7 linked regions of the Oryzias latipes genome follow. The protein of the gene in region 4 interacts with the protein of the main gene of each other region in a pairwise test. Links are inferred from orthologs where the notes say so. Each region holds a gene or a part of one and is shown on either strand. Other genes may lie near its edges. The genes, in order: zmat2, c17h1orf35, paf1, fragile X mental retardation syndrome-related protein 1, necab2, rabac1 and pts.

Region 1 (4,174 bases), on a different chromosome or scaffold from region 4:
CTAAGATCAACCTCTACCAGAGTATGGAGAAGGAAAGGAACTGCTCATGATCCTAAGCATACCACCTCATCAGTGAAGCATGGTGGTGGTATTGTCATGGCGTGGGCATGTATGCCTGCTAATGGAACTGTTCTCTTCTATCTATTGATGATGTGAACGCTGACAAAAGCAGTAGGATGAATTCTGAAGGCTTTTGGGCTCATGATCAGCCAAATGCTTCAGTGGACGGCGCTTCACAGTGCAGATGGACCATGACCCAAAGCAAACTGCAACCGCAACTAAAGGCCTTCTTAAGGGAAAGAAGTGGAATGTTATGCAATGTTTCACTTGCTGAAGACAAAACTGAAGGTAAAATGCCCCAACAACAAGCAGGAACTGAAGACCGATGCATTGGAGGCCTGGCAGAGCATCACCAGGGATGAAACCCAGCGTCTGGAGATGTCTGTGAGTTCCAGACTTCATGCTGGAATTGACTGCAAAGGATTTGCAACCAAGTATTAAAAAGTAAATGTCTGATTTATGATTATTGTTCTGACCATTACTTTTGGTTCCTTAACAAGTGGGAGGCACAGATGCAAACTGTTGTAATTCCTACACAGTTCACCTGATCTGGATGGAAATACCCACAAATTAAAGCTGACAGTCTGCAGTTAAAGCACATCTTGTTCGTTTTATTTCAAATCCATTTTGGTGGCATATAGAGTCAAACATGTTGGAATTGTGTCGCTGTCCCATTATTTATGGACCTGACTGTATAAAATGATCCACGTTACATCTGCGCTCTTGGCCCCTCCCTAAAGCACAGGTGTACTTACGTTTCTTGCCGTTGATGTGATCCAGAAAGTTGATGGAGTCTTTGACCACACAGTCACAAACATTGCAGTAATATCTGAAAAAAAAAATATGTCGGAACCAGAACCCAGACCTGTCCGTTTCTGCTCCACAACTTTTTCTTATTGGTTCAAAGAGTTTCAGTTTTCCATTTTTCCAAACCCAAAGCCGTCAGGAACTCACCCGCCCATCTCCGCCTGAGGGGTGGTCTTGGTGATGACAATAGTTTTCCCCAGTTTGGACTCCAGATCCACTTTGTAGTCTCTGTGCCGCAGGAGCTCCCGCTTGACGGGAGGGACAGGTTTTCCTGAAAGAGCCAACAGGTCATGCGTCAGGGGTGATAAGCGATTGACCCCCAAGGGTCCCCAAAGAACGGAGAGCGCTGCCCTCACCATCCCTGAGCTCCCGCTCGCGCTCCTCGTTCAGCCGCTTCTGAGCGAGATTCTCGTACTCGTCCTTGTCCCATTTCCGCCGGAAGTCGTTCTTGCTGGACTGGAAGACACGAGAAGATGACTCAGAGCGCCTCGATTATCTTCACATCTCAACAAACATTCAGCTGATGAAGACGAGGAGCTTTTACTCCTCCTGACAAAAGAGCAACAGCTTCTCAACTCAACTTCATTGATAAAACTCTAAAACAGAACCACAGAGACACAACAACAGAGAAGGAACAAAAGCAGGAAAGCCTCATGCTTCGTCAGAAGAATGTTTAAATGCAGACGGTGAAGATGCCTGTTGGACTGTCAGAGCTGACGCCTTGTGCACCTTCCAAGCTCAAACAGGAGGAGCTGGCTCTTCCCAGAGGTTCCTCCTGGATCTCTGTCCCTCCAGGGAAAGATATGAGCTTAACCGAGATTCCAAAAGCTCAGAGAGGTATGGATGAACGCACAAATCATGGGGAACGTGTGACCCATGATTTATGCGTGAGCCATGCTGCTGCTCGTATTTAATGGTGTTTGGGAAAAGGGCTGTTCCTACTCCGTGACCCGAGATAAGGGGAGGGCTCAGGCCGAACATCCAGCTGACGGGAAGCATCCATGTTGGATAAACAGATGAGTCCAAAGAGATCCTTCATAATGAACATTAGATTTTTCAGAAATCTCCGTTCAACAGCCTGATCCTGGCTGCAGCTGCAGCCTGAAACTGATCAGCTCTCCAAATGCATGGTGCCGTCAGGCTCCAGGGGGATACGCCTGCTGGTGGAGCTGTGCTTACAGGACAGGAAACCCTAAGTCACTCTAGACCAGTGTTTTTCAACCTTTTTTGAGCCACGGCACACTTTAACCCTGAAAAAGATCCCGCGGCACACCAGCATCCAAAAAAAAAAAAAAAAAGCAGAAATTCATGGTCTGTATTGATCGACAGCTCTTCCCTTTCATTCATATTATCAAAGTAAACATTTTCAACAGGGGTGGGTTTATAAATTTTATAATATAGCAACAGAAACATTGTTTCATATTTGCAAAAACCAAAAAGGACATTATCCTTATTATTACAGTTTCATTTATTATCATCACAGTCGGCTTTACGAAATAAACTTCAAGAGCTTTTATTTTGCCACACCGGAATTCGTTACACCTTTGAATTAGTCCTTTAAAGATAAAAACTAACGGCGGTTGAGTCAAAACGTTTTTGGTACTAATTTTTTTTTTTTTTAAAAAGGGCCGTAAAATTCTGCAAATAAAGTACCCAAGCGTCAGAGCGAGTTAGCCGCTGCTAGTCCGAGGCCGCGCTTCTAACGGCAGCAGCTGATGTCTGTAACGGTTACAGTCAAAACGCCTCCACGGTACCAAATATAAAGTGAAGAATTTTAATCTTGTTTATTGAATTAAACTGTATTACAACAAACAGGGGCAGAGAAATTCTGCTTGGAAACTCACCCCACTGCCGGACGCCATCTTGTTTACCTACGGAAAATACGTCACCGGATGTTGCAGCTCGTCATTGCTAGTTTCCTGTCTAAATTTAGTTCTATCGGTAGAGGAGACATCACGTGATTCCTCAAGGGGGGAGAGCATCGCCATCTTGGTGAGGTCAAATTACTGCTGTAGTGCATGCATGTGAACACATTTCTTGCAAAATACCAGTTCATTTTTCGGGTTTCAACTGCCAAAATCAGAGAAATGAGTCCACGAAGGAGGAAGGCATAACATTTCACAGGTAAGTATTATATATTTTTTTCTTTTAATGCTGCAGGGGCATCATTAATCATACACATGTTTTCATGCATGATGCTGCAGGGCGATTATCAACATGTAGGCATGATGTACGTATAATTTGCTGTCGATATAAATGTAAACTTTATTGTGTTAAACCTGTATACATTATACTAGGCTATTATAGTAATAGAGATTTATACATTTCTGACTCAGTGACTGAAATTTTATTGCAGGTTTCCAATGGATTCAGACTTAAGGAAAAAGTGGGCCTTAGCAATAAAAAGAGCTAACCCAGATGGATCACTGTGGTACCAACTAGTAATACAGTCTGGCTATGTTCAAAACAATTTGAGGAAACAGATTTTGATGAGACTGGCCAGACTGTTAGCTTGAAACCCGACACTAAACCAACTGTGTCACACAAATTTATCACTAACATGAATCAGGAGGTAAATCTATTTCTTTTCTTTGTTTTTTTAAAGGGGAAAATCTGTTGTTGACTTTTGGACTTTTTGTTGACTTATTATTGATTTATTATTATCATTTATTATTATTTACCTATTATTGATTTATTTTTATCATTCAATATTATTATTGACTTACTATTGATTTATTATTATTATTATTTATTGATTCATTATTATTATTATTATTATTATTATTATTATTATTATTATTATTATTATTATTATTATTATTATTGACTTATTTATATATTGTTATTAATTATTATTATTATTGACTTATTATTTATATTTGTTATTTATTATTATTATTGACTTATTATTTATATATTGTTATTATTTATTATTATTATTGACTTATTGTTGGGCTTTTCTAAATAATTTCAATTACATGTCAAAGAGGTCTAAAACTTGGAAATGTTTAAAAATTAAAAACAATGCATTTTTCATTAAAGTTTGAACTTTTAAAGCTGACTGTTTCTCTTATTTAAAAGCATCAAATGATGTATATATATAAAAATTATATACATTTATCATGTGTTTATTTATATGTATAAATATATAGAAATTTGAATAAATATAAATTATATAAAAGCTACTTAGATGCTACCAAAGGCTAAAGAAATCATTGTCATGTAGGCGTCGTTGACCTCACCAAGATGGCGTTGCGTTCCGCCACCGTCGGCCAGGCTTCCCAAGCGGGCGTGTCTCCTCTAGCGA
Region 2 (4,004 bases), on a different chromosome or scaffold from region 4:
AAAACAAATTTGTAAGTTTAAGTGATTCATATTTAATCATATAGTCCTGAATCGACTCATTCTTTTTGCCATACTCAACCCTCGTCAATATTGCTAAATAACTAATGCTAATAAAGTCAATAGTTAAAAAATTAAAAATCAAACACATATTTACTACTAATTTTTGACAATTAAAAAATGCTGTTTTAATACAATAATGTTTCCAAATGGCAGTATGGATGATGTAGAAAGACGACTTACTGTAAAAATTTGCAGACCCATTTTAGCCGCCTCCTTTTCCTTTTGGGACAGCACCATTTTTCGTGACCCTGCACTTTAGAGGGAAATAAAGATGGAGTCAACTTAAACAAACCACAGACAGCCAGTCACCTTATCTCCTCTGAACAGAAGGTTGAATTCTGCCAAACCTAAAACTGCAAAGAAAAGTCATGAAATATCCAAGAATATTATTCACCAGCAACCTGATTAACAAATCATTTGACTCATTTTAGTGTATAAACTAGAAAAAAAAAAACTATTAACAAACTCCCATTTGTCATTTGGACAATTAAACATAACTTCTGTACATTTGTTCAAGCAAATTGCATTTATAATAAGAAAAAGAAAAGTTGAAATTTTCCTAAAGCAAACATTTTGCATAAAAAAAATCTGTTTTATGACACAGACAAGAAGATAATCTCACCTTGAGCTTCCTAAACCTGAGATACGATCCACATCCTTCTCTTCACCATCAACCTCTTCTCTCCGGCATACCTCTACAAGATCCTGAAAAAAAAAATCAAATTCAACTTACAGGACTTGACAGCAATTTTTCCAATATTGACCAGCAACGTATCCATACCTCTTTAGTAAGCCCTGTTGGTTGTCTCTTTATATTCTTATGGCCTCTAAGTTCAGAACAAGAAACGCAAAGCATCACTTTTTGTGTCCTAATCTTCAAGAAGGTACAGGAAATGGCTTATGGGAAGTCGCACGTACAGGGCAGCCATCAGTGCCTCCTCCTCTGCAGCTCTGACTGCAGCAAGCTCCTCTTCTTTGGACAAAGGAGCACCACCTTTCTTGTCCTTTGCATACCAGGTCAGATCTTTCCCTTTCTGCCATCGTCCTACGGGAGCCATCAAGGAGTTTCCTGGAAAAAACGCAGAAGAGGTCAAACTATTTAGGTAAAGGTTCTTCTTTAAATTCTACATTTCAAATGCCACAAATTCAGAATACAAAATGTATTATGCAGGATTGTTATACTTTATATTTAGACTTTTTCTTTTATCTAGATGTTTTAATGTTTTGCACCAAATAATCATTTCAATAAATCTATTTGACTTTTAAAGATGATCATGGTTACACACATTTAAATGAAAATATTAGCAGTCCAGACTTCTCCAGTAGATGTATCCTTTTGCATTTTCCCCCATAAAGGTTCAAGTGTAAGAATCAAATTAGAATAGAATAGAATAGAATAGAATGGCTTTATTGTCATTGTGCATAGTACAATGAGATTTAAGCATCACCATCAGTGCAAGAACAGTAAGGAAGGGAAAAGTAGTAAAGATAACATTGTAATATAATAAAATCAAACAAGCAAACAAACAAACAGTATATACAAGTGTGCAATATAAGCTGTAAAATTGATATCAGATCAATGTTTTAAACTTCCTCCAGCTGAGTAAACTTTGTCTTTTAGAATATCTCATTATAGACAAGTGCAGTCTTGTTGTTAGACTGTTTTTTTAATTCCAAGTATTTAGGCAATCCACACATAAGGCAACAGTCTCCTGCCATGTTAAGGGTGGGTGTTTTGAGCCTCATTTCTGTTTGACTTTGCACCTGAAAGGTTGTGGTTTTAGCTCATATTTTACACAGACAACATTCAGAAATCTAAGCAGCTATGAGAGCTTGTCGATTTGCTTTTGTTACATGTTTCTCGGTCCCGACTACTGTGGTGATCACTACGTAGCTCTCTCTGGGCATGCTGACCCGCTGGCAGCGGCGAGGGCACAGAGACAACGAACGTGTCGACCAGAGGAGGCATTGACAGCACGTTTTTGCTTTCTTTACGGAGATTAATCGGGATTGATATCAAGCTATTAGATCAAGCCAAGCCTTGTGTAATGAGGAATTCAATAACAAAAGGTAGGAAAACAACCTAATTTTAGGGGGGCCACACGGGGTTTAAAAGCATCTGGAGCTAATCTTTCCTGGATGTGTGGCACGCGCTGATAGCGTAATCGACTGCACGTTATGGACTTACCGAGATAATTCTCTCTGTGTTTATCGACCTTCACTTCATCCCAGTTGAACTGGTCTTGGCCTCCACGGATGCCTCCGGATCTCGATGAACCAAACATCTTCAAAAGGGCAAAAAAGTGGAGATTCGGGGGGGAAAAGTAACACTTAGCTAGCTAGCTAGCAGCTACGTTGGTTAGCAGAGCTGCGTGGTCGGTGCGGGCCGTTAGCGTGGACTCATCCAGGAAGTTTAGATTCCCAGTTTCCACGAAAGAAACCCACACGGCTGCGTTTGTTTCGACAGCAACTTCCAAACAAACAAACAACCCAACAACGCGACAAAGAGCAGAGCGTTAAAGCTGGACTCTCGCGCGCGCAGCTTAAAGTTGCAAAGACCCAACAAACAATTTTTTTATTTAAGTAAAAAATTTAAAACGGTAGATTTGTAATCCTCAGCAATAAAGATCTGACTACTGCAAATAGAAGCAATACAACTTTTTTCCCGACTAACGAGCATTTCCTGCTCCTTTTGTTTATTTCATTTGGTCGCGTCCAGTGGCGCGCGCGGACGTAACGTGTTTGGGTACGTAGTGATGACGTAGGCGTCTCGCGGTGAGGAAAAGGGCGGCGGAGGCAGAAAATGCTCCGAGGACCGTCTGCAGAATCAGAAAAACCTGCCTCCCGATGTACATGAGACATTTTATCAGACTGTTTTCAGGTAGGAATGAGGATTTTTGACTTCCTTTCCTCCTTCTGCTGTTCTGTTCTCTTTTTCCCATCTCTGTGTCGGAACCACTATTCATTCCTGGAGACACTTTGTTGTCACGGAGCTACAGGAAAAGATGGTGCCCAAGAAGTCAACCGGTGTTTTATTTTATTTCAGGATGCATATAAATCCTAGATGGATGATACAACTTTTGATAGTAGCATAAAAACGTCCAGTATCATCTATTTTGTTTAATGTCAACTTAAATTAGGAAACCCTTTGTAAAATGTAATTTGGGAGAAAAATTACATCACTAACAAAATTGTCTTTCTTTTTTCTTCTTCTTTTTTAAAAATATTTATAAGATATCCAGTTTGCTTATTCATGCAAATTAATGCATTTTCTACCATTTGTCACTAAAAATGTGCATTTTGAAGAATTAGAATATAAGCTTATATCTGTGAGATGTTACATACCTTGCAATATTAAAAAAAAAACAAAAAAAAACATTTAAGTTGGAACCAATTTTTTAGGTTTTGGTTTACTGAAAAGTCTGATAATCTGTTGAGCATTTTTAAATGGTATTTATTCGGAGCAAAACAACATTGGTGCAGTTTGACACAACAGACATTTAACATATTATATTTTTAACCAACCAGTGAGATACTAAAGAAATAAATTAACAGAAAACCGTCAAACCCAAGAGATAAAATCAGTTTATTACTTTGCCACAATAATATCTACATTCAAGTAAACAGGACATCTGTAATGCAATACATGTGTATTTTCTGTGTGTTTTCTTAAGGATAATCAATTGATCTTCTCTTAGAACATGTACTTAACATTGATTGATAACATCTCATTTTAATCAATTTTATATAAAAAACAAACATTTTCTGTCAATTTTTTACGTAAAATGTTCTCATTGAATTAATGAAAGTTGTGTTTTGATTTGGTTAAATCACTAGTTATGTGTTAACAGTGTTTAACCAAACTGTCATGTAAACTGAAATGTAGATTAAAAAAATGTCCAATAGAATTTGACAGTGACGCTCAGCCTTTCTGGTTCACGGAG
Region 3 (3,098 bases), on a different chromosome or scaffold from region 4:
TTTTTTTTTCAGATTTCAGCTTTTATTCTTTTAGTCCAAGAAACATTCATGTGCTAAACAAATTGACTCTTGCAATATCAAGTATAATTGCAAGAACTATAACATGTAATTCCTATTTTCACTTGGTTTGACGTGCAGTTGCATGAACCTAACTTGTGACTGTTTTGCTCTGGAAGGTCTTTGAAACCAGAAATGTCGATGACTTGACAGAAGAGTGGCTGAAGAACCAGCTGGCGTTTTTTCGCTGAATCTGCATCGTCTGGCAGCATCATTGTCAACCGCAACTACCACTTTTATTTGTTGCATAATTAAAATCAGTGATTAAACCACTTTGTTTTCCATCACCTTTAAAGTGTTTAACTTCATATTTTCTTCTTTTTTTGTCGTCAAGTTCTTGTAAATCTAAAACCAAATGAACTAAAACCAAATGTCATTGATGTCATGAGCTGTTCTGCTCGATTGTGTTGTATTTTCCAAAAAAAAGAAAAAATAATCAAGACTTTTGGAAAATGTCACCAGTAATTTATTATCAGTTTCAATGCCTGAGTTGAAATCAGTTTGTCAAAATCAAATTGAACAAATTTATGCTGCATTGAAGGTCAAGCAACAAAGGATTTGCGTACAAACAGATAATGAATGAATGTAACCCAAGTGAAATCTCAGGGATAAAAAAGTGGATTCAAGAAAAAATCTTATGTAAAGATGCGAGGAGCTACACTAATGGAGCTCCAGCGCCAAATTCTGCGACTGTGCTCGGTGACAGAGGAAGGACACATGCATATAAGCTCCATCAGCCCAAACACACAGAGAACAAAGGGTTTGCTCTTCAGCCTGCAGGTTTTAATCACTGTCACTGGCATCACTGGAGTCGGAGGCTCTTTCGCTTCCGCTACCACTCTGAGCCTGCGCCTCGGAGTGGTCACTGCTGTGGTTGCTGGGCGCTGGAGAGGCACTGCGACTCCTGGTGCCCCTTCGGTTCTGCCCTTCCTCCTCGCTATCGCTGCCTTCGTCCCCGCTGCTTCTGGCCGAATTCTTGGGCTCGTTGTCATCGCTGTCGTCGTCGCTGCCGAAGATCTCCTCCTCGTCTCGCATCTCCCTGGTCCTCTCTTCGCCGCTTTCGCTGGCACTGCCACTGGACTTCCTCCGCCTTTTCCGTCTGGCTTCGTTGTCCTCGTCCTCCTCTGCGCTCTGTTCCCGCTCTTCGTCTTCCCTCTCAGATTCACTGCCGGAGTTCTCTGCCTCACTGCCACTTCCTTTCTCTTTTTCATCACCTAAAAGAAAAAAACACAAAACAATGAAAAAAATGACTGACATTGCAACTGAAGTAATTCCTACAGTTCAAAATAAAGCAGTTGTTACAAAAAATACTACAGAATCCTTTGCATGATTAAAAAAAAAAGAAACTTTACCAGAGTCCTGCATGTCTTTGTCCAGGTCTTCCTCTTCATCTTCAGGTTCATGGTTCTCAAGCTGAGCTTTACGTGCCTCCTGATGATGAAGACGACATCATTCATAAGAGATTTGTGTCATGCAACATAAAAATCCTGATCCTTTGTCAATAAACTGCTGTTCTGAAAGATGTGTGTGTGTAAACAAACAAACAAACAAACAAACAAACGGAGCAAGGACCTTACCTGAGCTTCAAGCTCTTTCTCATTCATATCTCTGTGCTTACAAACAAGCACAGCATTTGTTGTGGACTGTGCTCCAGCCTTGGCTCTTCTCTTACTCAACCGCACCCTAAAGGTCAAAGTTAAAGTTAAGAAAAAACAAGTACTGAACTGTTTATCGAACCTCTAACCTGTTGGGAAAACAAAGATCCTGCCCTACTTTTTCTCTACATCAGCCAAGTGATACAAGTTTTACATTTAACTAAAAATATATGGAAAGGAATTTGTTGAGATTTTTCTACTCGCCTGGTCTCCAGCTCGTTGTAATAAACACCATCTCCATCTCTGAAGATGAAGAAGTAGTTCTCCTCATAACCTTTGCTGGCTTTGTTTTTGACATTCCAGTTGTATTCTCGCGCGATCTTGTAGTCGTAACTGAAACGAAAAAAGTCTCAAGATTGATCTTGTTTTGGAACAACATCTAGATGTTTTTTAACAATGCCGTTCTTCCACTTACACATCATCCGCCATGTATTCCACTCCCTCCTCGGAGTCTCTCTTACGCTTGCGAAGTGTTTCCTCGTGGGGCAGGAAGTAGGCTACAAACTGATTCCCCTCCTCGTCCATCATTCCTCTATCATAAAACAATTGTTTGTTTATGTTTCATAAAGAGACCATCAGGATAAAAACTCTGAATGTACCTAATCATCGCCTGGGACATCATCTCCACTCCTGCTGGTGCAGATATGTCTTTAGGAGCTGGATCAGAATCGAAGATGACCTGAGCGCATGGGTTGATCCACATCTGAGGAAAGCCACAATGCATACAAATCATTAAAAGAACATAAACATGGACAGACCATTTCTTATTTTTTTCCCTATATATACACATATCTTATTTAATTAGTTGTTCTAGTTTCTCCTTTTGCAGCAAGTGATTTTAAATGTTCAAAAGAGATTACCAAAATATTAACTGTTGCATTTCATCTTGTGGTAAAACTCACTTTAAAGTCAGGGAAAACTGGCAATATCTCCACAGGAGTAACTCTCGGTTTACTGTAGTGCTGTGCGATCTGTGGCAGAAAGGAAAAAAAAAAAAAAAAAAAAAACATCTTTAGATTTACCAAGATATTTATATATATATATATATATATATATATATATATATATATATATATATATATATATATATATATATATATATATATATATATATATATATATATATATATATATATATATATATATATATATATACACACACACACACACACACACACATATATACACACACCAGCGTGACCTTTACCAAATTTTCTAGCATTCCCTTGCAATTTCTACAATGCTGTTACACATCAGAACTGAATTTCTGCATGTACTGTAACTGAAAAAAAGATTTGATCCAAGTCTCTAAAACTTAAGCTACACAATCAATTTTAATAAGCTAAACAAGACCATACTGGTGTGTATTCATTTGCATTTCTTGAT
Region 4 (3,500 bases):
TCTGTAGACGCGAGTTTACCGTCTGTAGACGCGAGTTTACCGTCTGTAGACGCGAATTTACCGTCTGTAGACGCGAGTTTACCGTCTGTAGACGCGAGTTTACCGTCTGTAGACGCGAATTTACCGTCTGTAGACGCGAGTTTACCGTCTGTAGACGCGAATTTACCGTCTGTAGACGCGAGTTTACCGTCTGTAGACGCGAGTTTACCGTCTGTAGACGCGGGTTTACCGTCTGTAGACGCGGGTTTACCGTCTGTAGACGCGGGTTTACCGTCTGTAGAGGCGAGTTTACCGTCTGTAGACGCGAGTTTACCGTCTGTAGACGCGAGTTTACCGTCTGTACATGCGAGTTTACCGTCTGTAGACGCAAGTTTACCGTCTGTAGACGCGAGTTTACCGTCTGTAGACGCGAGTTTACCGTCTGTAGACGCGAGTTTACCGTCTGTACATGCGAGTTTACCGTCTGTAGACGCGGGTTTACCGTCTGTAAACGCGGGTTTACCGTCTGTAAACGCGGGTTAACCGTCTGTAAACGCGAGTTTACCGCATTTAAACGCGAGTTTACCGTCTGTAAATGCGGGTTTACCGTCTGTAAACCTGACTTTGTGATTGCAGTGAAATAACCTATGAAGATGTGAGTTTATCCAGTCTGTAAACATGAATTTACAAGTGTGTGAACATTTATCTTATGTGTGGATTTACTGTGTACGTGAATTTCCCATTACTGGGTTAAAAAAACAAAACAAAGTTCAGGTTCTATTGGTAATATTTTTTTTAAGCCACACAAGTCATCGCAGTCAAGAGTCGACTAACGATGCTGATAAAGACGAGGAAATACGGACAATAAATATATAATTTATTCAGTTAAGTATTCGGATTCAGATCTGTTCTGTTCACAGACGAAAATACAAGAGTTTAGTCAAAGTGATTGAACTGAAACAGCTGTTTTCTAGCAATGACGTGTTGATGATTAATTCAATTTTAGACACAAAGAACACAAAGAAAATAGAAGTTCAGATTAAATGTGAAATCCCAACAGAAAAAGGAATCAAGGCTACAGTTAAGAGAAATCCTCAAATTTAAATAAAACTGAACCGAAAGTCCTTGCTTTCCTGGTACTAAAACATTTTTTAATCAATAAATTTCAGTTGGTGAAACTATAACTTTTTCACATAAATGTAATATGTCATTTTTGTGCATATTGTATTAAGAATGCTGCTGGCATACAAGTGTTCCAAGTTTTACCAAGGCTCCAGCACAAACCTGACAAAAAAAGGTTTGTTTTGTTTTTACATAAGTTAGAGTTTAAAAAGGAATTTCATCAAACCAGTGAATTTCTAGTAAAACCGCACTTTTGTTAACCGGGTAAGAAATGCTTTAAAAAGCGTCTGTCCACTTATTGCCTGTAGTTGAAATTATCACAGAAAACGACGACAGCTTAAAACAACCTTTACCAAAACGTTGCAGCACAACAATGCAGCGCTGCAAAAATGCAGTGAGACGGGTCAGAAAACAAGCCATGCAGTTCACCTTTCTACCACTAGGTGTCGGTAAAGACTGACGCTCAGACTCAGTGAGCTGAGAACCGTTACTTTTCTGACGTCACTGCTGACTGAATGAATGATAAAGGAATAATAATGAATGAATAGAGAGAAAAATGAATTTTGTTTGTATGGAGAAGCAGCTCGGATGTTTACATTGCTGGTTGTCTGAGGATGACACGTGACCTTGTAGCCCCTCCCACAAATGGGCTTAAAAGACGGTTACAGGGAGCACTTCTGTCATTTGGGGTTGTGGTTTTGTCTTTAGATTCACGTGTCTTCAGATGAGTGAAGTGAGCAGCAGGGTTTTATGGCAGCGGTGGACGGGGGCAGCTTCTTGGCGGGGGTGGGGGTGGGGGTGGTGGGGGTCCTGCTTCACAGTATGACAGCTGACTCCACCAATGACAGCTGAAGCTCAGGGGAGGTGCGAAGGAGGAGAGGCAGGGCAGGGGGCCTGATGTTATTTTTAAAGGGTCCAGATAGCTGGTAATCTATACTCCGGTGTACCCTTCACCCCCACCCCCCTGAGGGGGGCTATTAATAAAAGCACATGAGGTCAGGGCAAAATGAGGCTCTCTCAGCAGCTTTCACATATGGCATCGCCGCCAGAGCCGTGTGTTGAACCGTGGGGTATAAATGGGGTAAATGTGGCTAAAGCGGTGGCAGCGGTGCCCTCTTCTGGGGCAAACTGAACCCACCTGGAGGTAGGAGACGTGGTACTCCAGCAGAGCCTGGGCGTTGCTGATGTTCTCCTTGGTTCCCACAAACACGAAGGGCACCATCCCCTGATGGAGCAGAAAGCAGAGCCTCCGTAAAAGCGAGAAACGCCGACGCGTCACAGACAGCAAAGCCGATCGGACGGCTGGTCGGCAGCAGGATGGGACGGCGCCGAAACACACAGCACAAAAACACAAAAACTCTCTGCAGCCACAGAGCTTTTTGAGTGGAGAGCAGCGATTAGGAGGCCGGTCGGTCGGTGCATTCACCTCTTTGCCGCCGCCGGCAGTGTCGTCTCTGCCGGCCCCCTGCCTGCCTACCTCCTCCCGGGGAAGCTTTTTGTCGTTGTCTCCCTCGATCCGGACTCGGACCACGCCCGACTTGTCAACGATTTCCTGGATGACTTTGCCGTTCTTTCCGATGACTTTGCCTGTGTGGCAGAGATAGGGGCCGAAGCCGTCGTGACCATCCGTGCGGGACGAGCGGAGGTGACCGGTAAACCCGCCTCTAGTCCGACCAACATGGCGCTCACTCACCTACAAGGTTCCTGGGCACCTGGAAGTAGTCTTCTTTAAACTCCAGATACTCTCGGGCCTGTTTCACCGCCTCGGGGGTCTGTGGCACAGCAGACGGAGATGACGCCCCTCACCGGGACAAATGAGCCCCGATTTCCTCCGGAATGGGGCTTACCTCTCCGTAGATCCTGAACGTGCAGCTCTCCTCCTCCAGCTCGATGGCCGTGACACCAGGAACTTTCCTCGCTTGCTGGATGTTGGCGCCGTGAGACCCGATGGCGAGGCCCATCAGGTCCTCTCGGACTCTGACCTCCTCTTGGTACGCGGCTGCTAGCTGTTTACTGGTCTGGAAAAAGGCGGACGGCACACAATAGAGTCATTTCTGTCCCGGCTGACCGTCCCGGGTCGACTGCCCCAGCGGGAGGCTGAAAGACTGACTGGGATGGGGGGTAAAGGGGGGTTTACCTCCAAATGTTTGGTGGCCTCCTCGTTTCGCGACATTAGGATGAGCTTGGTGCGGATGCTACGGAAATGCATGTCGCTCAGGAGAGTGGCCCGCTTCACCGTCGTCTCGTTGGTCGACTGCCGAGACAAAGAGGTTTGGCAGAGGAACGGAGGCGAGACGGGCCGCCGAGCGTTCGCCGGCAGAACTCACCAACACGATGAGCTCGTGCGTTGGCGCGCTGTAGAAGATGCAGTTTGCTCCGATGGCTTTCCTGAAGTCTTT
Region 5 (4,290 bases), on a different chromosome or scaffold from region 4:
GTGTGAGTGTTATCTGAACAGCTTCAAGGAAAACCAAAGTATATTTCCATTTCCCAGAAGGACTTTGACGTGCTTTCTGGGTAATGGAAAATACAACAGATTTACAGATTTAAGTAGGTGAAAGCTTTTAGACATTTAGTCTGTCCAAGGAATGTTTTAATCCAATAAAGGTATGGATTAAAACTCAAACACTTTGGACCTATTTCTGTTTAAATCCAACTTTAACACCCTCAGATTATGATGCTGAAAGTCGATTTACCCCTCATTGCCACAGTGAGAAGAGAGCTGACAGATGGTAAAACACATGCAATGTTGTGATTTTTTTTTTTTTTCGAGGAGTGACTAATTCTGTGTAGAAATAGGGAATCTGGATTGTAATTAGCGGCTGGTCAGCCAACATTCAGTGCCCAGACTTTTCTGTTTGTCAGTTCACACTGAGGCTGAGGGATAAGGTGCAGCACAGAGCCGATGATGTCCACCAGACTGATGAGGACTCACTGCATGCTCCACATTGAGCTAATTTATAGCTGCAGTAAAAGCTTTGACCTGTTTGGAAGTGAAAGGCTCAGAACTGGAACTTCTGATAAGGAGAGAAACACAAGGATGTGGAACTGGAGGTCGGACAGAAGACAGCTCATAAAGACGAGATCCAGATTGCAGCATTTTTTACTTTTAATGTAAGAACTTGTCTGCTCGTCTGTCTGCGTCATCTTTTTTTTCCTATTTACTTTTCTATTCAGGATCAGCTGCAAAAACACAACAATACAGTAAGAAGGACCCCTGTGTTGTTTCTGAATTCTGTAACCAAAGAGACAAGGTATTGCTGCATCACAGCTGTGTGTTCTAAAGAAGCAAAAATGAGCCCAAATATTGACAGAACTGCAGCAAAAAGCTTCAATGCTTCTTAAATGGAGACTTCCTTCATTCGTTGATGATTTTTGTGATCCTCTAATGTCTAAAAGGGTACAAAACAGACAAGCTGCTAATAATTTATTGGTTTTATTTAAATATGAATGAGAGAATATGATCGTTTTCTAGTCACTTCTGTCAATAACAGTACTGGTGTTGATGGAATCTCTCATCAAAATGTTTCCTTTTTCTGGATTTTGCAGAAAAAACTTGCATAAAAGCTGTTTTATGTTTAATTATTTCCTTCCTCTGTTGCAGTGAAACTCATTAAGAGGTTTTTGCATTATGGCAGCTAAAGCTCTAAATAAGATGTGCAGTCTTGGAGGCATCATTGTAGAACAGATCAAAACCTTGGTGCCAAACTGAGCTGTGCTTCAGATGACAAGCAGCTCTGCATTGTTCGGCTCCTCTAATGCACCCATGGGGCCAACTCAGCCCCACAAACAAGAGCCAGCAACAGAGGAGCTTGGAAAAGAGTGTCGCGTTAAGGAGGCGGTGGCTCACAGCACAGAGGACCAGCAAAACTGTGAGGGCTTAACTATTTCTTTAAAATTAAGAATAAACAGGAAAAAGCCGGACGATGCCTGAAACCTTATTAAAACGGATTTCTCTGAAAACAGGAGGAAAGGACAAATGAGGAAAGGAGGGGAAGAAGAAAAGAGCAGACCGTAGGAGAAAAAAAGACAGCTGGATGCAGGTGTGAGCGTGCAAATCAAATGTTCACTTCTCCACCATGATAATGATGACGGGGTCAGCAAGAGTGGAACATGGCAAAATCATTAACATTCTAGAGTTCGGGGTGATGTGCAAAAGAAGGAGAGAAAATGCTAAAATGATTCAAAGCTGAAGTCAGATCCTGCAGAGAAGGAAGAGTTGCAGGCTTAGAGATCAAAGCGGACTGTCACTGAGAGGCATAAATACAAAACGACAGAAATAATGAACAACAAAAACAGGAGAGAAATCAGGAATCTTTTCATGTATCCAAACACACAATTTTAGTTTGCTGGTAGGGATTCTCTCAAGAAATAACTTTTTGAAAATCTAGAATAATGTGACATGAAATTTGAATTGGCCCTCTGGTCATAACTTTATTCAGGTCATCTGCAGAAGCTGATCTAGTTTCTCTTTTGTTTTGTCTTCTATTAAGGCCGGACTAGAAGATCTCAGGGGGAGACAAACGATCTGCGGGTATTGATGAGCTGACCTATATTAAAGATTGCGCCAAAAGTGGATCAGTGAACCATCTAACTGACTGATGAATAGATTTTTGTTGTTGTTTTAAGGAATCTGTTTCGAAGTTTATAAACTGAATACAGCTCAGGCGGTTTGGTGGAGGATGCAGACAGAGTGGAGAGTTCAGGCGCCAGCCTCATCCCGGACACCCACCAAAGTGTCAAATAACCAGCAGACCTCCTGCCAAGTCTCCACTCCTCGCTCTTGTCTGTGCGTAAGTGCGCACGGCGCGCACCGCTCCCTGGATCCTGCGCATCCAACCCCCCCATGCAGCCTGATACTTACATCCAGAATGACCGAGATGCCTCTCCGTGGCTCCGGGGCAAAGAACTGCTCCTGGGCCACGGCCACCTCCTCTTTGCTGGAGGCGTACTCCCGGCTGGAGATGTTCTTGTTGTCGCTCATTTTGGTGACGATCCAGCGGACGAGCCCGTCGATTCCACCGGGCTGGGCGCCGCTGTTTCCGGACTGCGCTGCCGTCGCGGACTCGCTGTCCTGACCGGCTGAAGGCTTGGGCTGCTCGCGGCTCTCCTGCGCGCGGAGTTTGGCTTGTTCTTTGTTGAGCAGTTTGTGGACTCCGTCCCTACAGTAACGCGCTGCCTGCTCGCACATCCTTTTGCTGCGGAGCGCTCATGCTGCGCTCTATGGGGGAGAGAGAGGAGCTCCCCACCCACCCCACTTCCCTCCTTACATCACACACCCACCCCAAAACACACCCACCCCACATTCCCTGCAAACCCACTCAGGAGACAGAAAACCTTGTGGAAGCTTCAACTTCTCACTTTCCATGCGCGTTTTTTTTGCAGATCATGCGTTATGTGGCTGATTTCAAATGCACGTCAGAACTTTTTTTTTCCTTTTCAAAAAATATTTTGTGGGTGTTTCATCCCGCAAACAGTTTCTGTCCTTTGGCTGTATTCCAGGGGGAGGATTTCTGCATCCCTGAAGGAGCATCAGAGAGTTTTTCCTCACGCAGCTCCTCTCATTAGAGGGTGTCCTGCATGAGTGATGTGACAGATTTAACCTTTAGTAATGACTGACTCCACCAGGTCTGCCCTTTTCCAGAGTTAACGGAACAAAAAGAAGATCAGGACAAATGAGGTCCTGCAGGAAAGTTGACAGAATGACAAAACAGCTGTGGAGGATGATGTGTCTTTCCTCCATCAGACAAGCAGCAGAACTCTGATCAGATTACTTGACATTACTGCCCCCTTGTGGAAATGAGAGTGCATCGACAGGAAGGACTTTGTAGAATTTATTAAGTCATTTAGAAAATGTTTATGCTTTAAAGTATTGCAGCTTCGTCATTCTAATTAAATTCATATATAACAGTTACTAAATAATAAAAACGGATCAGCTGCTTCCTGTTGTGGTTATTTATGATCACTGGGATCCTTTCAGGTAAAAGACCCATGAGCAAGGCTTGCTGTGTCCCTCGCAGCGCTCGCTGGAAACGGTCAGCTTTCCGAACCAGGCCTCCCTTCCAGGCTCTCCATCAGGAGCTTCAAAGGAAACCTGGATGTTGTGAATCTTTTTTGGTTTGATGTTGTCTGGTCCTTTGACAGTAAAGCAGGGGTTGTCCACCTAAAGCAGCAGAACATCCAGTCAGTTTCAGGTTACTACATTTACAGGCATATTCATTTGGGAATCCAGCAACTCAAGCAGCATAACAATAGAAAAGTTAGATGTAAAGTGGGGTTGGAGCACTTTGTAAGTCACTGTGCTAAATATAAATGAGCTGGGTGCTGCTGCAGCCCTTATGAATAATTTAAAAAAATCTTCTATTGAAAGTAAACAGGTCATAGTTCTTAATATGAAGACTTCCTTTTACAAGGTCTGCCTGTTCTTTACCTGAGCAGTGAATGTAATGCTTTGCAGGAACACGTTCTTGAAGGGGATTGTGATGCTGTGACCTGCCTTAATGCTGAGTGGACCCTGAGCTTTAGGGGGGAGGCAGACCCCATGTAAGGGAAAGATGTACTCTCCATGAATCCCAGAGGACAGACTGAGGTCCGTTTTCACTTCGCCAAGCTGATGAGGCTCAAAGCAAACCTCCACGCTGACCTCTGACCCCACCTGGAGGCCCGGAGCAGCAACAACAGTTTTGGTCACGATGAAATCCGGACTATCGATCTAAAAGGCAAACAG
Region 6 (4,218 bases), on a different chromosome or scaffold from region 4:
TCTGATGAGGGACATTAAGCTGTTTGCCTGGAAAAAAACAAAGTTGGCAAACACATGAAAACATAATTCTCTGTGGCTTTCTATAAGATTCTCCCATTTCATGCATGGCTGAAAAAAACTCTGAAAAAAAGTTTTTTCACTTTCAGGCAAGTTAAGGACAGCAGTTTTTCTGTTTTACTTACCAAGAACAACCAGTCTGGACTCTTGAGACTTCAGGTGGATTATGTAGAAGGCACCAAGAAACACAGCCAATGCAATCAGTAGCATAGGGGAGCTTATACTGACAAGAAAAGAAAAAAAAAAAGGCTCATAATGCTGTTACTGATTCAATCTTTTCTTTTTCTTTTCTCAATCCCGGTGGCCTTAGTGTGTGCAGTCAGTGTTGCATCTGTTATTTCATAAAACTTCAATAATGTTTTGAGGTAAGGCCAAAGCAAACTCAGGTTTACACCTACATGCAGTACAGGATGAGACCCAGGAAGATGAAGGTGTAGTTGCTGTTGTAAGTTTCCACATTTTTCACCACTCTCTGGCATGCATCTCCGAAGTTTCGTGGTTTTGAAAACTTGCGTTGGTCCACAAAACTGGCCCACGGTCGAATGGACAATCGGCGCCTATCAATCCACTCCTTGGCCATGCTGGCAGAGAAGCCTTTAGGGAGCCAGAGCCTACAAAATAAAGGTAAAATGGTAATAAAGCGTACAAACTCTCAAGGAAAAAGTCAATGCATTACAACTTTTGACAATATGAGCAAAACAAAAAAGTATTTTGTAGTTTGATTAAGGAAATTCTTAGAAACTTTGACAAAACAAAACTTTAAAAAAAAAAAAATTTTAAGTAATGAGGCACAGTCTACAGAACAGGAGGATGAGGATTTAGGACTAACTCCACCCCCAAAAGTGGATGTGTAAAGACAGTAACTCACAGAGCCTTAGCACCATTGCTGTGGTTTTTCTACAAACGCTGTTTAATGTCCACGTCCATCACCGAAGAAAGTTGTTTGGGTCACTAAACTCCTTTTTAAAAAAAACAAAACTGACTCGTACTTTGAAAGGATTCCAGCTCCACCCGTGCCAGTTGGGTGAGCATCTTCAGCCGTAAACAGATCTCCAGCCTTGCTGTCCATGTCCACTTGACAGTTCTCTCCCTTTGGTACTCCAGATGGCATCTGCAAACCTTCTCCTGAAAATAAAAGAAAATAGAATAAATAAAATAAAAGAAATAGTCTTAAGATTTTTCCTTCACATACTTTTTTTTCCCCCTTCTTCGGATCAGCACAAGATAAATAGTCCAAAAACTGTGTGGAAAAATGGCCTTCCTTTATATGGAGATAGATGTTTTTTACGAGAGATGAAGTGGGATAAAAGAATATTAACGTTTTTGAGTTTGAGGTTGTTTAATGAAGAGCCTAAGTATTAATAATAATTATAGAAAATCATAAAATAGAAAATATATACATATGACTGAAGACATATACCCAAATACTACAATGGGTAACTGAGTAAACAAATGAACGGAAGATAGAAGCTCAGGAAAGATCTGACTCCTTTTCTTTTCCTTTTTTGCCTATTGTTTACTGTTAACATGCAGATAAGTGCATGCCAAGTTTGCATGTGGGATGTTGTTACATCATTGGGTTTGTCAAGTGGTTTAAAGATTTTGTTTTGTTTAGTTTCTCCATTTTGCTTCTAAAGTTAATTTAAAAAAAAAAAAAAGAAAAAAAAAGATTGTCTTATTGGAAGTTTGCATTTTTCCTCGTATTTTTCAATGTACAAACGATATGTATCCTTTATAAAACATGTCAGAATTTTTCTGGATTCTTCTTTATTTTCCCCTGTTTAAATGGGAAATAAAACACCATACACCATACAACCATACAATCTTTACGATTTTTGTAACACTCCTCGAGGTGCATCAAAAGCAAACTTAAATAAATAAATAAAAAAGGAAAAAGGAAAGGAAAACCTGTTTACTTTATTTTTTAAAGGTAAATAACAATTGATATATTTTATAAAATGTGTTTAAAATGGAGAAACAGCAGTAACTACAAAAGAAAAACTACATGATCACTAGTTTCCACATTATTCTTAAGAGCATAGAGGTTAGATTTTAATTCAAACTTGTTCCTGATTGGCCAGAAACATAGGAGCGGATCTCGTAAGTGGAAAATTTTTGTCAACAGGGCTTGGTCACTGCCACATCACTGACAAAGGCCGAGAACTGAGCCAGAAAACGACATTTTGAGCAAGTAAAAATCTTTTAAGGATCAAATTTGTCCATATGTGTCGAATTATAAGTGGAATAACTTTTATAAAATGAATACTACCTACTTCTTCGTGTCTCATGTTAAATCAAACTGATTGTACGAAGATCACAGTAATTTATAAACATTGAAATGAAAAGACATAAGATTTTACCTTCGTGATGTGTCAAATGTCAAACCTACAGACGATGTAGATACTTACAGACCAAGTTATGGATAAAAAGCCAAGTTGTTTTGTTGCTGTTGGTCCTCACGGATGTGATGTGGCTGAAGAAGAAGAAGAAGAAGAAAAGAACTTCCTACAACACCAATGCCGCACACTGCCCCCTGCTGGTTGCACCAAAGAACTCCCCAGTCTATGATGTTATTTTTTCCCTTACATTTAACCATATAAAAATATTTTATTCATTCCTCTATTTAACTTTGAAGTCGACAAGAAATCAAAAAACATTTTTAGTGCCAAAGTGACAGAGATTACTACCTTGATTCTTTTAGGAACAATCTGGGAACAATCGGTATGTTAAGTGTGGCAAAAACGTGACCTTACGTTATGAAACCCAGCCCGAGAGCTGTGATTGGTCAATTTACGACTCACGTCTAGCCACTGTCACGTCGCACGTTGCATTGTGGAAGTTGCTAGATCATCCAGCGTCAGGCAAGCTATCGCGGCTGAAAGGTGAGGTCTAATGCACTCTAGGAATATTCTCTTTGTGGAAAATGTAACCTAATAGTGTTTTAAAGGCGCGTGTTTAACGTTACGCTGTATTAGTTGACGCCTTAGCGTCTGCTAGACTAATAAGTTCAGCGGGATTCATCATCATGTCGTCGCACCGACCGTCGTTGAAACAAACAATAGACCGTCTTATTTGTCTCTAGAATTGTTTTTCTGCTAATTTTGCGTGGTGTTACGTGAAGTATAACTGCCAACGAGCTCCTGTGTGTGTGTTTTTAATCGAACAATTGAAGAGCTGTGTGTTTTGTATGTGTTGTCCCCCACCCTACTGATTACATAACTCTGTTCAGAGGAACGGTACCGAGTCGGTAAAGATAACATTAGCAATTGTAGCTAGGCATATATGACAGTAATTAAACACATCTCGATGCATTTCATTATAGGTGGTAGCTGCTTGCAAGTTTGAAGAAAATCTTAAATAGTGAGTGTTCGTTTGTGGCACACAATGTACACACAAAGACTTAACATGACAACTACTAGCTACAATTAAAATACCCACTCCGATGAAAATGAAAATTTAGCTTAGAATTGCATTTCTGAGTATTTCTTTATGCAAACTGATGTGAATTAGACGCAAAAAGCTGTTGCAAAAAAACGTGTAAGTGTGACGTAGAAGCTACTACACCAACCAAGCTCCCTCACTGCTCCATTCTGATGCTTCATTCTGACACATTTGGGCTTCATTTTCCTCGTCTGAGCTGCCATCTGGCTCAAAACTGTACGGTTGGATAGCTCCAATATTGTTCACAATTTTTGTTGCACCACTAATGTGCAGTGGAAGTTGTGATTGTGAGGGGCTGTAAGCGAGTGTGTAAAGGGATGGTGGTAAGGGGGGGCTAACTCCATGCCAGCAGTCCTGCCCACGACTCTGGGGGGTTAATTTCTAATTAACTCCTGCCGCTATGCAGAAACCTTCCTAGAAAACAACACGGGGAACGCTTTGAAAATATTTTAAAAGATGATCGGAGTGGGGCCTTCAAATTGTTACGTTTTTTAAATGAAATTATTAATTAAGGAACCTGATACCATTTGTTTGGTTTCAAGTTTCAAACATAAACATGGTTAAAGTAATTTTTTTGTGTTTGTTTTCTTTTTCCCCTAAACTCCACAGTTTTATTTGAGTGGGAAACTTGGAAAAAAGGGGTAAACCATGGCTTCAATGAATTATCCTGAATGCACACTGAAGAATTCCTTATACTGGGATGAAGCAGAGTGCCTTAAC
Region 7 (2,423 bases), on a different chromosome or scaffold from region 4:
ACCCAGCTTTTTAGGGATCATTGTGTAATTTGAATTATGCACAAAATAAACATTTAAAGAGTTTTCAATTTCATTTTTAAAACAAACTGTCTTGTTTGTATGAATAAAAAACAAACACCAGTGAAAATTTCTGATCCTGAATGTTAACCAAGCTGGGGAAGTTTGATTTGAAATGAAGCTGCGCCCCCTAGTGACCTATTAGCGCCAACACACGTTTCTGTCCAATATCTGGAGATGATCAGATGATCAATGAACTTCATCAGTAACCGATATTTTATCCACACATACAAAACAAAAAAATAAAGACTCGAGCTTTTTTCCAATAAGAAAACCTGATTTTTTTCTAAATTAACAAGAATGTGAAGGTAGATTTCGCACTTTTACATTTTTTTTAACAGTGAAGCATATTAGCAAATACAGCAAAAGAAGCAGAAATGAGAACTGCACTGTCAAGTTTCACAGAAAAAAAGCATCAAGACTACTGAAGAACACTACAGAAGCACAACATCACAGCATTTTTATTAACGGAAATGACAGGTTTAAAGAAAGAAATGGAAACTATTGGCGTCTGAACAAGACAGAAAAAGCTTGAGAGCTCAACAGGTCATTTAAGCTCAACAGCACTCAAAAGCAGCGCTATTACAGAGGACTGGGATGAGCCCAGAGAAAATTACATTCATCCAATGTTCAGCAGAGGCTTTTGGTCACAGGGAGACAAAGGTCATCGACAGTGAAAGAAAGCTCTTTGAGGGAAACAGTCTAAAACAAGAACCAATAGCAGCCCTACTACCTCTGCGGATCGCTCCAAAAAAAGGACCTGGATTGGGCTACAAGTCTTTGTAGACTTGTAAATATTTGTGAACACAAAAAAAAAAATCAGAGAAATGAGCACCGGACCGAACTGTTCTCAATCATGGAGTCCCGCAAACTGACAGGAAGATGCAGAATCAATAAATACTTTATTGTTTTCCATCTTGGAAACCTACAGAGGCAGGAACTCTGTCTGTGAGTCACAGCGCCCCCTGCCTCAGTACTGATGTAAACACAGAGTTCATTTTCTGTATTTGCAGAATTACTAAATAAAACATTGGGTTTGTGTCACAATTATTGGAATGTAAATGATGTGGATCTCAAAAAAAATAATTTTAAAAAAGGATTTTTTTTTTTTGCCCGAGTTAGCAGCCGGGATGAGTCAGCAAACAGATCCGAAGCACTTCTGCGGCGGCGAAAGCAGAGTTTACTCTCCCCGATAGACGACGATGTTCTTATCCGTCTCATGAATCTTGATCTCATAGAGCTGACCGGGGGGAAGGACCTTCACCATGTTGTCCCAAATGTAAACAGCCAGGTTTTCTGTGGTGCTGAGAATCCGGGAGCACAAAGACAAAGAAATCTTACTAAGAAAATAAAAGAAGATGTTTAAAAAAGTTTGGAAAGTTTCATACCTCACAACAGTGGCAAAGTAAGGAACGTCCTTGTCCAGGTTTTTATGGTCCAGAGGAATCATGATGACCTCCTGTAGGTGGAAACAGGCAAAAAAAAGTTCCTTAAAAAGAAGTTTGTTCTTTTAAAAAGAACATTTTAAGACGGCCAGGTAAAGATGGAGTCACCTCGATGCACCTCTTCAGGTCTGTAAGGTTCATGACCATCCCGGTCACGCGGTCAATCTGAAACAGGTTTGATGTCAATCAGAAACAGGGTTTCATTGGTCTCTTGTGTGTTATTCCAACATGCTCACCTTTCCCCGGACGGTGACCTCCACTGTGAAAGAAAGCACACCACAGTGAGCAGACTCATGACTTTACATCCATCATGCTTACAGGAAACCACAATGACCTGTGTAGTTGTGTCCATGACCGTTGGGGTTGTTGCACTTCCCATAAACCTTTGCGTTCTCCTCGTCGCTCAGGTGAACGCTGGAACAGATTCAAACAGTAAGAGGCAGATTCTTGGGTTTAGATTCAGTTTAATCATATGATAGCTTGAACATGTAAACTGTAATATTCCGACCACTAGGTGTCACTGTGATTTGATAAGATACCTAGTCTCGCGGGATTTTGTGGAATAGGTGTGAGATTCAAGATGGTGGAAGTAAAACAGTGAATGTGACAGTTTCCCGGCCTGGATTGTGATTTATTCAATTTAAATCAAAGTTCTTTAACCAAGAACATTACATGGTGTCAGAATAGCGGATTTTCTGTCAACCCTGTCTACAAATGGAGTCCTACGGCGTTCCTATCCCGAGGATGGACTGGGATTGCTCGAACCTTCCAGAAGCGTGGAGGAAATTCCGACAGCATGCAGAGCTGATGTTCACCGGACCTCTGCGTGAAAAGGATGAGGCAGATAAGTGCAGCTATCTACTATTATGGGTTGGAGAAAAAGGACGTGATGTTTATAACACGTGGAACCTAACAGCAGAT

Evidence for each region.
Region 1: the proteins of fragile X mental retardation syndrome-related protein 1 (region 4) and zmat2 interact in binary tests that used the Homo sapiens proteins (3 or more experiments, as listed by UniProt). The two-hybrid records come from large-scale screens. The link is inferred for Oryzias latipes from reciprocal best matches to the Homo sapiens genes FXR2 and ZMAT2.
Region 2: the proteins of fragile X mental retardation syndrome-related protein 1 (region 4) and c17h1orf35 interact in binary tests that used the Homo sapiens proteins (3 or more experiments, as listed by UniProt). The two-hybrid records come from large-scale screens. The link is inferred for Oryzias latipes from reciprocal best matches to the Homo sapiens genes FXR2 and C1orf35.
Region 3: the proteins of fragile X mental retardation syndrome-related protein 1 (region 4) and paf1 interact in binary tests that used the Homo sapiens proteins (3 or more experiments, as listed by UniProt). The two-hybrid records come from large-scale screens. The link is inferred for Oryzias latipes from reciprocal best matches to the Homo sapiens genes FXR2 and PAF1.
Region 5: the proteins of fragile X mental retardation syndrome-related protein 1 (region 4) and necab2 interact in a two-hybrid assay, tested with the Homo sapiens proteins (2 studies listed by BioGRID and IntAct). The link is inferred for Oryzias latipes from reciprocal best matches to the Homo sapiens genes FXR2 and NECAB2.
Region 6: the proteins of fragile X mental retardation syndrome-related protein 1 (region 4) and rabac1 interact in binary tests that used the Homo sapiens proteins (3 or more experiments, as listed by UniProt). The two-hybrid records come from large-scale screens. The link is inferred for Oryzias latipes from reciprocal best matches to the Homo sapiens genes FXR2 and RABAC1.
Region 7: the proteins of fragile X mental retardation syndrome-related protein 1 (region 4) and pts interact in binary tests that used the Homo sapiens proteins (3 or more experiments, as listed by UniProt). The two-hybrid records come from large-scale screens. The link is inferred for Oryzias latipes from reciprocal best matches to the Homo sapiens genes FXR2 and PTS.

Annotation. Positions count from the first base shown.
Region 1 is NC_019872.2:3,288,058-3,292,231, forward strand, and holds the start of zmat2 (zinc finger matrin-type protein 2), read right to left. Parts: upstream 2,801-4,174; 5' UTR 2,730-2,800; coding exon 2,712-2,729; intron 1,324-2,711; coding exon 1,224-1,323; intron 1,139-1,223; coding exon 1,015-1,138; intron 890-1,014; coding exon 816-889; intron 1-815. UniProt on the Homo sapiens protein: Involved in pre-mRNA splicing as a component of the spliceosome.
Region 2 is NC_019875.2:27,890,663-27,894,666, reverse strand, and holds the start of c17h1orf35 (multiple myeloma tumor-associated protein 2), read right to left. Parts: upstream 2,801-4,004; 5' UTR 2,346-2,800; coding exon 2,249-2,345; intron 2,131-2,248; coding exon of another isoform or gene 2,109-2,130; exon of another isoform or gene 1,809-2,108; intron 1,164-1,808; exon of another isoform or gene 1,130-1,163; coding exon 979-1,129; intron 888-978; coding exon 842-887; intron 766-841; coding exon 683-765; intron 314-682; coding exon 241-313; intron 1-240. Other genes in the region: guanylate kinase, read left to right, coding at 2,908-2,941.
Region 3 is NC_019871.2:11,070,354-11,073,451, reverse strand, and holds the end of paf1 (RNA polymerase II-associated factor 1 homolog), read right to left. Parts: intron 2,684-3,098; coding exon 2,615-2,683; intron 2,416-2,614; coding exon 2,312-2,415; intron 2,245-2,311; coding exon 2,128-2,244; intron 2,046-2,127; coding exon 1,917-2,045; intron 1,741-1,916; coding exon 1,635-1,740; intron 1,489-1,634; coding exon 1,410-1,488; intron 1,272-1,409; coding exon 841-1,271; 3' UTR 501-840; downstream 1-500. Other genes in the region: glia maturation factor gamma, read left to right, coding at 177-248. UniProt on the Homo sapiens protein: Component of the PAF1 complex (PAF1C) which has multiple functions during transcription by RNA polymerase II and is implicated in regulation of development and maintenance of embryonic stem cell pluripotency.
Region 4 is NC_019876.2:28,860,591-28,864,090, reverse strand, and holds part of fragile X mental retardation syndrome-related protein 1, read right to left. Parts: coding exon 3,429-3,500; intron 3,356-3,428; coding exon 3,239-3,355; intron 3,120-3,238; coding exon 2,949-3,119; intron 2,874-2,948; coding exon 2,795-2,873; intron 2,689-2,794; coding exon 2,528-2,688; intron 2,327-2,527; coding exon 2,240-2,326; intron 1-2,239. UniProt on the Homo sapiens protein: mRNA-binding protein that acts as a regulator of mRNAs translation and/or stability, and which is required for adult hippocampal neurogenesis. Specifically binds to AU-rich elements (AREs) in the 3'-UTR of target mRNAs.
Region 5 is NC_019864.2:24,684,458-24,688,747, forward strand, and holds the start of necab2 (N-terminal EF-hand calcium-binding protein 2), read right to left. Parts: upstream 2,801-4,290; 5' UTR 2,755-2,800; coding exon 2,428-2,754; intron 1-2,427. Other genes in the region: hydin (hydrocephalus-inducing protein homolog), read right to left, coding at 3,526-3,726, 3,994-4,275. UniProt on the Homo sapiens protein: May act as a signaling scaffold protein that senses intracellular calcium.
Region 6 is NC_019874.2:20,935,573-20,939,790, forward strand, and holds the start of rabac1 (prenylated Rab acceptor protein 1), read right to left. Parts: upstream 2,801-4,218; 5' UTR 2,745-2,800; intron 2,531-2,744; 5' UTR 2,466-2,530; exon of another isoform or gene 2,418-2,465; intron 1,183-2,417; 5' UTR 1,169-1,182; coding exon 1,047-1,168; intron 669-1,046; coding exon 456-668; intron 281-455; coding exon 183-280; intron 28-182; coding exon 1-27. Other genes in the region: dedd2 (DNA-binding death effector domain-containing protein 2), read left to right, coding at 4,147-4,218. UniProt on the Homo sapiens protein: General Rab protein regulator required for vesicle formation from the Golgi complex. May control vesicle docking and fusion by mediating the action of Rab GTPases to the SNARE complexes.
Region 7 is NC_019877.2:21,056,526-21,058,948, forward strand, and holds the end of pts (6-pyruvoyl tetrahydrobiopterin synthase), read right to left. Parts: intron 1,917-2,423; coding exon 1,837-1,916; intron 1,762-1,836; coding exon 1,739-1,761; intron 1,668-1,738; coding exon 1,611-1,667; intron 1,517-1,610; coding exon 1,446-1,516; intron 1,362-1,445; coding exon 1,238-1,361; 3' UTR 501-1,237; downstream 1-500. UniProt on the Homo sapiens protein: Involved in the biosynthesis of tetrahydrobiopterin, an essential cofactor of aromatic amino acid hydroxylases. Catalyzes the transformation of 7,8-dihydroneopterin triphosphate into 6-pyruvoyl tetrahydropterin.